Sus scrofa: one gene and its partner. The protein of the gene in region 1 interacts with the protein of each later gene in a pairwise test. Links are inferred from orthologs where the notes say so. Each region holds a gene or a part of one and is shown in the gene's direction. Other genes may lie near its edges.

The links.
Region 2: the proteins of CRK (region 1) and PPFIBP2 interact in binary tests that used the Homo sapiens proteins (3 or more experiments, as listed by UniProt). The link is inferred for Sus scrofa from reciprocal best matches to the Homo sapiens genes CRK and PPFIBP2.

The regions. Positions count from the first base shown.
Region 1 is NC_010454.4:47,658,357-47,661,221, reverse strand, and holds part of CRK (adapter molecule crk), read left to right. Parts: intron 1-733; coding exon 734-871; 3' UTR 872-2,865. UniProt on the Homo sapiens protein: Involved in cell branching and adhesion mediated by BCAR1-CRK-RAPGEF1 signaling and activation of RAP1.
Region 2 is NC_010451.4:2,104,802-2,109,249, reverse strand, and holds the start of PPFIBP2 (liprin-beta-2), read left to right. Parts: upstream 1-1,509; 5' UTR 1,510-1,543; coding exon 1,544-1,607; intron 1,608-4,448. UniProt on the Homo sapiens protein: May regulate the disassembly of focal adhesions. Did not bind receptor-like tyrosine phosphatases type 2A.

The DNA.
Region 1 (2,865 bases):
GAATCTTTTTGTAACAGCAAAATGATGTCCCCTTATTGTTAATGAACAGGTACCAAGTGTCAGTGAGGGAGCAACATGGTTGCTTCCATGGTGCAGGTGAGGTCACTAGCAGGCAGTGGCCTGCCAAGTAGAACTTGCTGAAGGAGGTGGGATCTCTCAGGGTACTGATGGAGTTTGGAGGATTGGCCTATACCTGCACAACTGGGAGAAGCCTTGCTTTGGAATGAAGGTGATGGGAACACTTCATTTTCTGGGACCAAATGAAGTATGCTTCCCATGATCGCCTTCTGCTCTCCCAACAGCAGCAGCAGACCAGGATATGTGTACAAGAGTGGGCTGGGGATTGTGCTGTTATATGCAAGCGAGGGGAGGGCCGGGGAGGCTAAGGCAAGAAGCTAAGGGTAGTGGGTTCAGAGACAAGGAACACTGGATCGCTCTAGGTAGGGTTGCTCCTCTAGAGACACTTGAGATTTCCAAAGGTATTATTTTCTAGGATCCCTTCTATTTTCTGTACTCTGTTTTCCTGCATTGCTGAAATCACTTCTTCCTCCTGCCTGCATTAACCACAAGTAATTGGTCTGGTGGCTGGGGCTTGGGAGGCAGGGAATAGTCATTTCTGTAATATCAGCCCTAGAGCAATCACATGGGCAGGGTGTGGCTAAACTGAGAATGGCGTTTTTCAGCTTGCTTTCATGACTGGAAATAAAGTGCTGTCCTTATTCTCCTCCTGCAGGTCGGTGAGCTGGTAAAGGTTACGAAGATTAATATGAGTGGTCAGTGGGAAGGGGAGTGTAATGGCAAACGAGGTCACTTCCCATTCACACATGTCTGTCTGCTGGATCAACAGAATCCCGATGAGGACTTCAGCTGAGTATAGCTCAACAAACAGTTTTGCTGACAGATGGGAACAATCTTTTTTTTTTTTTCCAATTGCCATCTATACAGTTTTCTTACAGATGTCAAAGCAGTCTAGTTTCTATAAGCATTCTGTTACCTGTGATCTTTTTCAGATTGAACTGCTCCATTCCTAGTCTCATTTACCATATTCAGGGTACGAAACTGGAGGGCTTGTGTGTTAACTTCTGAATTGACAATTTTAGGTGGTAGCAGCGTTGCCTGAGTATATCTGAAGGGCTAGGTAGCTCGCCTCCTTTCTCTCAGGCGAAACAAATCAACCTGTGGAAAACTGCTGGACAGGAGAGGAGTGTTGCATACTGCTTACCCTGATTTAGTCAGTGGTTTTATTTTCATTCTGAAACCATGCTATCAAATGGCAATAGACTGTTCCCTTCCACCCCCGTGAAGTAATCATGCACCGTGTGAATAGTACCCAGTGGGATTGCTTTTTCATTTATAGAACATGACCATTGTATGACTCATTCTGACAGTTCAAATCCTGAGAATTCTGAGGACACTACTAGAGGCATTTGTCTTCCTTCCCAGTCAATGCTTCATACTTTTTCTTGGGATTCTTTCAAGCCTGGTCATTCTTTTCCCCAAAACCTACAGATAGGTTATTTCTCAAGATAAGTGTTTATTTTCATTCCAGATGATAAGCAGGATGTGCAGAGCACTTTATTCAGTGCATAGCTTTAAGCCAGTATTGGATTCACTGCATGGACAGCCAGACTCCCAGCTCTCCGCCTTCCCTCAAGGGGTCAAAGTAGGTTCACATTGCTACCACAGCTAAATAGACTCGCGGCTAGTGGGATCCAGCAGGGCCGTTTCTCCCGAGTGCCAGTATCCTCTTAGGGGTCTCTTTGGAATTCTTAGCTTCTACTTGGAGTGGAAGGACCAATCACTTAAGAATATTCCATAGAAGGTTGGGGGGCCAAATTCTGCCCTTTTGCTTTATGTACAACTTGTATAAAAGTCAAATTAAAATTACGTGAGTTTGGGGATAGGGTTAGTGCTTTGAAAAATGTTTGAACCAATCACAAATTACTTACGTATTATTCATTTCATATGGCCAGAATAGTGCTTAAAGTACATTACATTATAAACTGCCTTCATTTTGGGCTCTTTTTCTTTGTGTTCAAGTTTAGTTTACAAAACCTTTTAAGTGTGGAATGATTCGTTTATATGGGGTTAGGCGCTCCAAAGAATAGACTTCTGAGACCAAAAATGATCTAGGCTATTTAGATTACAGTTTGAATCTTTCAAAGTTAGTTCGCAGTCCGGAGGCAGTTACTATCTATAGTGTGATATGACCAATAGAAACATGTTTTTGCTTTTGGCCTCATTTTGGAAAAGTAATGTATCTTTCCAATTGTTTTGCATAGGTTAAGATTAATTTGCCTTCTTTGAACATAGGCCAAATCATGGTATCCCAGCGACTAGCACAGTGCCTGGCACAGTCAGCGTACAGATGTTTGTGTGAGTGAATGAGGGGTGTGCAGAAGCTCATTATATGGCACAGGGAAGCCAGCTGGCACAGGATTTACATACATTACCACAAGCGAACTAATGAGTTATGCTAATTTAATATATTTTTACCTCACACTAAGGTAATGCTTGATAAAGACATTAGTGCTCGACTTTTAAAATGTTAGCACAGTGCTGTGCACATAGTGGGTGCTCAATAATATTGAATGAACAGATTTGCAATACTAGACTTCATTCCATCTGACTACTCTGTTAAATTTTCAGTTAGAGCATAGATACTGTAAAATCCAAATACACGTTAAATCTTGTTTTCCTGAAAGTATGACATCTAAAATATTTGTAGAAAAGCTTTGTCACAACTGAGTTGAATGTTTGTATTTTCTTTTGCCTTTGACTTTGATATTGGCTTGTAATGTCTCTTCATCATATGTAATATTGGTGGAACATGCAACTCCACCCAAATCATGAGAATTTCTTAAC
Region 2 (4,448 bases), on another chromosome or scaffold:
TACACCATAGCTTTGGCAACATAACCCACGGTGCTGGGGTGCTGGGCTGTGTCCGGGTGCTGCAGACACACCCCTGCAGGGATTCCTTATTTTAATTTTTTTTCTTTTCTATGGCTGTGCCTATGGCACGTGGAAGTTCCCAGGTTGGGGGAGCTATAGTTGCCAGCCTACACCACAGCCACGGCAACGCCAGGCCCTTCACCCACGGAGTGGGGCCAGGGATCGAACCCACACCACAGCCTCATGGATACTCGTCAGTAGTTTCTGCCGCCACAACAGGAACTTCACGACATGCATTTTCCTAGTCACCTACTGAATCATGACAGGACCTGTGAGTGAGGTGCTGTTACTGTCCCCACTTTACAGGGGGGACTGGGGCTCAGGATGACACAGTAAATGCCAGAGATGGCTTGGACCCCAGGGCATTTACCCACTCCTGCCTGGCACCGTCCAGTGTGGTCGGTTCTCCGTGGCCCCGACACCCTTAGCCATGCGTCTCCAAGGCCACTTTCCTGTGGGCGCTCACGCTCCTCTCTCCGCTCTGAAGGTGAAAGTTCATGGGGAAAATGAGCAGCAGAACCTCCTGTGCCCCGACCTGTCACCCTGGGGTCTGGGAGCCCCGCCTCTGTCCTCCGCAGCACGTAGGCCCACTGGGCATTCACAGGGGCTTTGCTGAACCAGCAAACAGCGGCACCTGCCTCCAGCCACAGACCTGAGCTACGTCTCTTATCACAGATGCTGTTGGAAGTCTCTGCTGGGGGGAGCAGGCAGGAAGTCAGGAAACAGGCTGCAAGAAGACGGTTGAGCTTAAAAGACCCTTCTGAGAGGGAACCAGGCACTGCCTCTCCCTGGGGGCGGCTTGGCATCAGGGTGGGGCTAGGCGGTGTCTTCCTGGAGAAATTCTGCAGCCCCGAGAAGATGGGACTCTGTATCTTGAATGGCACTGGGTGGAGTGGAACTGAAATGGCTCTGGACAGTGCTCCTGGCTCCTGGGGGGGTCCTCTCCCCACGACAGTGCCCCCACGCCCTCCTGGACGGGCCATCAGCCCCCTTGGCAATGAAAGTGGCAGTCAAGCTGGCTCAGCCTGACCACGGCTGCCCCAGGAGCATTGCAGGTGTGGCTCAAGGGCAGAAGACAGCTACTGCCTGCTGTGGCCCAGCTGCAGGGCACGCCTGGATGGAGCTCCTGCTGGCCGTGTGCATCCCCCATCCTAGGGGAGCCTCAGCCTTCGCCAGGGGCGGCCGGAGCTTCTGGAGCCTGGGATAGGAGGGTAGCCGTCGCTCTCTTGCTGCTGCAGGTGACTGGAGAGCCCTAGTGGCTTTTCATGACCGAAGTGAAGGGGCTCACTCGTGCCAGGAGGGAGTGGCTGTAGACCCGCAGAAACCCCACGCGGGCTTCGGGATGCCAGTGGGAGCGCGCCGTGTGCTGGCGGAATGAGGGTTTGCGGACTTGGGTAGCGATGGGGAACTCTCTGTAACTGTCCCTTTGTTGTGTGTTTGCGTTTCCAGTAGGAGACAGGAGACCGAGCAGCGAGACGGCCTCATGGCGTCTGATGCGAGTCACGTGCTGGAAGCCGCCCTGGAGCAGATGGACGGCATCCTCGCCGGTAGGTCAGACCGAGAGACCGCGTCCTCTCGCTGGACTTCTCTTTCGGGTGCAGAGAGGAGCCCCCTGTTGGATTTCTTTTACTCTGTGTGCCATCTCTCTCTCTCTCTCTTTTTGGCCACACCTGCAGCATGTGGAAGTCCCTAGGCCAGGGACTGAACCCACGTCACCCAAGCCACAGCAGTGACAATGCTGGATCCTTACCCTGCTAGGCCACCAGGGAACCGCTGCCATCTCTCTTCTAATAGCTCAGACTTGGCCTCTTTGACGTCCGGTGTGAGCCTAGGTGTCTGTTGAGCCTGCACATGCTCCCGTGTTATATAAATGCATGTATATTTGTGCACAGGTCTAACCGTGTCGCAGTTTGGATCCTGGCTGTGAGGCAGTTTCAGTGCCGTGAGATTTTTATTGTAGACGTGCTCAGAGCACATCATACCTTATGATGCTCAAGCTGAAACTCCCAGACTTGGCCACCCAACGCCGGTGTCCGCCCCCGTCCCCAGCTGGTCTTCAGTATGTTTGGAAGGCAGGAGGCAGTTCTGTACTGATTCACCTAATCACCTGAAGACTGTTCTTTATGCCGTATTGTTTTTTATCCGTCACAACTGTCTGGCTTCATGTTTGCCATGGCCACTTAGGAACATTCGCTGGAGAAGATCCAGCCAATTGCTGATTGGAAAGGCCCGCCAGCGGGCTGTTTGGGCGGAGGAACTCCTGGATGGGGCAACTGAAGCCCATACTGGTTAGACCAAGGCTGTCGTTGGAAGTCTTTCCCGTCAGGCCCAGGCCTTCTTTCTGTCCTTACCTGATACAGGCCAGTGGCCTTACTTGCCGACGGGGCGTGTTTCTTTGGGACTTTGCTGCGGGAGGGAGGTTTGGGCTGAGTGTGGCTGCAGCCCAGGGCACACACGGGCCACTGGACCCGGTCCCTTGCCTCTCCTCCGTCCTGCCGAGATACACCCGGCGGGCGCACTGAGGGCTCTGGGTGTTTGCGCCTGGGGCACAGGAGGTGTCCGTGTAGTAGCACCTTCAGGTTTTGGTGGCCCTGCCATGTGTTCTGATGACGTCTGTCAGGCTCTTAATTTCTTAGGGAACACAGCACCCTCGAGAGGTCACGACTAACGTCCCACTTTCCAGAGGCTCCAGCGGTTGGGATGTCCTGCTCTAGGGGAGGGTCCCTGAAGCCCCACCGGGAGGACACGGTCAAGAGCGTGGGGTTCCTAGCAGTCCTTTTGTTTTTTTTTAATTTATTTATTTATTGTATACCCGAGGCACATGGAAGCACCCAGGCTAGGGATCGAACCTGCGCCACAGCAGCGACAATGCTGGATCCTTAACCTGCTGAGCCACCAGGGAACTCCTGTAGCCATTCTTTTAGAGTCTCATCTGGAAGCTTCCGGGACCTCGTTTGCACTGAGACTCTCGTGGGCAGGTCAGACTCTCAGACCTGCTCCTCAGGTTGTCAGCACTCCTGAGCCCCGAGCCAAGGAGCTCGGAGGAGCCTCTCAGAGCACCCCCCACCCCCGGCATGCAGAGCTCTTGGGTGGCTGTGATGGGTGATGTGACCCCTGCTGAAGAAGACAGCCCTGGGTGGGGTCCTTCCCCCTAGTCTCCCTGCCTCCTAGTCTCCCTGCACAAGCATTCCTGAAGTGACAAAGCCTCTGGTAAAGTCCCCTCTGTTGGGGGGCGAGGACGTTGTGTCGGGACCTCGTGTGGGTCTGGGGTCAGCCCCGGGTGCGGAGGGCGGGCCCTGCTGTCGGTTGGGTGGGCCCGGGACCCCCATGCTCCTTCCCTTCCAGGACCCGCTCCCTCCTTCTCCCGTTTCCTCAGGCCTCCACCCTGCAGGCTGCTCAGGAAGGGCTCCCGGGCTTCTCCGGAACAGGCAGGAGCGTTTCGCAGAGAAGTGGCCAAGACATTCCAAGGCCTGCTCTGTGGGCCGGGGGAGGAACACCTGTAGCCAGAGCGCTGGGTTTAAATCCCAACTCTGCACCGAATTGCCTGCATCACCCACGCCTCCATTTCCTCAGATTTAGAGCGGGATGAAATAGTACCCACCTAAGAAGGTGGCTCTCTGATGCTTAAAACAGAGCCTGGCCTGTAGGAAGCGCCATCGCATGTGAGCTCAGGATAAATTCACGAAGGACAAAAGCATCTTTACATGTGAGTCTTCTCTAGGGACACAGTAGAGCGGTCCTTTATTTAGCCTCTCCCTTCACCTGTCTGGTTTTCACTGTCTAAGGCCCGCGATGCCTCCTGGACTCGCCTGGGGTCAAAAGATGAATGCATAGCCTTCTGAGTGGTCTCTGCTCTGCTCTTGCCCCCTGTCTTCCACAGAGCAGCAGAGCAATCCTTTAAATGTAAATCAAATCACATCCCTCGCTCCCCACAACCCTTCCCTGGCTTCCCGTCTCGGGGTAAGAATCTAGAGCCCCGTCATAACCGGCGGCTGGATGGGACTTGGCCTGTGGCTGCCCCGCCTACATTGTCCTGCTGGCTGTCTCAGGGCCTTGCTGTCCCCTCTGCTGGAATGTCCTCCTGCAGGCACACTCAGGTCTGATCTGTGTCGCTGAGTCGTGAGAGGCCTCCCCTCTCGGCGGCAGCGTCCTCGCTTCCCCCGCGTCCGTGTGTCCTGTTTTTATTTCTCTGTAGCGCTTGTCAGCCCCTGACCCTGCGTTCATATATGTGTCTTTGTTTTTACCATCTGCCTCCCGCACCAGATCATACACTTGTGAGACAGAGGCTTTGCCACCCCATCTCCTGTGCCTCTTTTGGCCTGCAGCACAGAAGAGGGTTTGCTTGTCTGTCTGTCTTTTGTCTTTTTAGGGCCTCACCCTCAGCATAT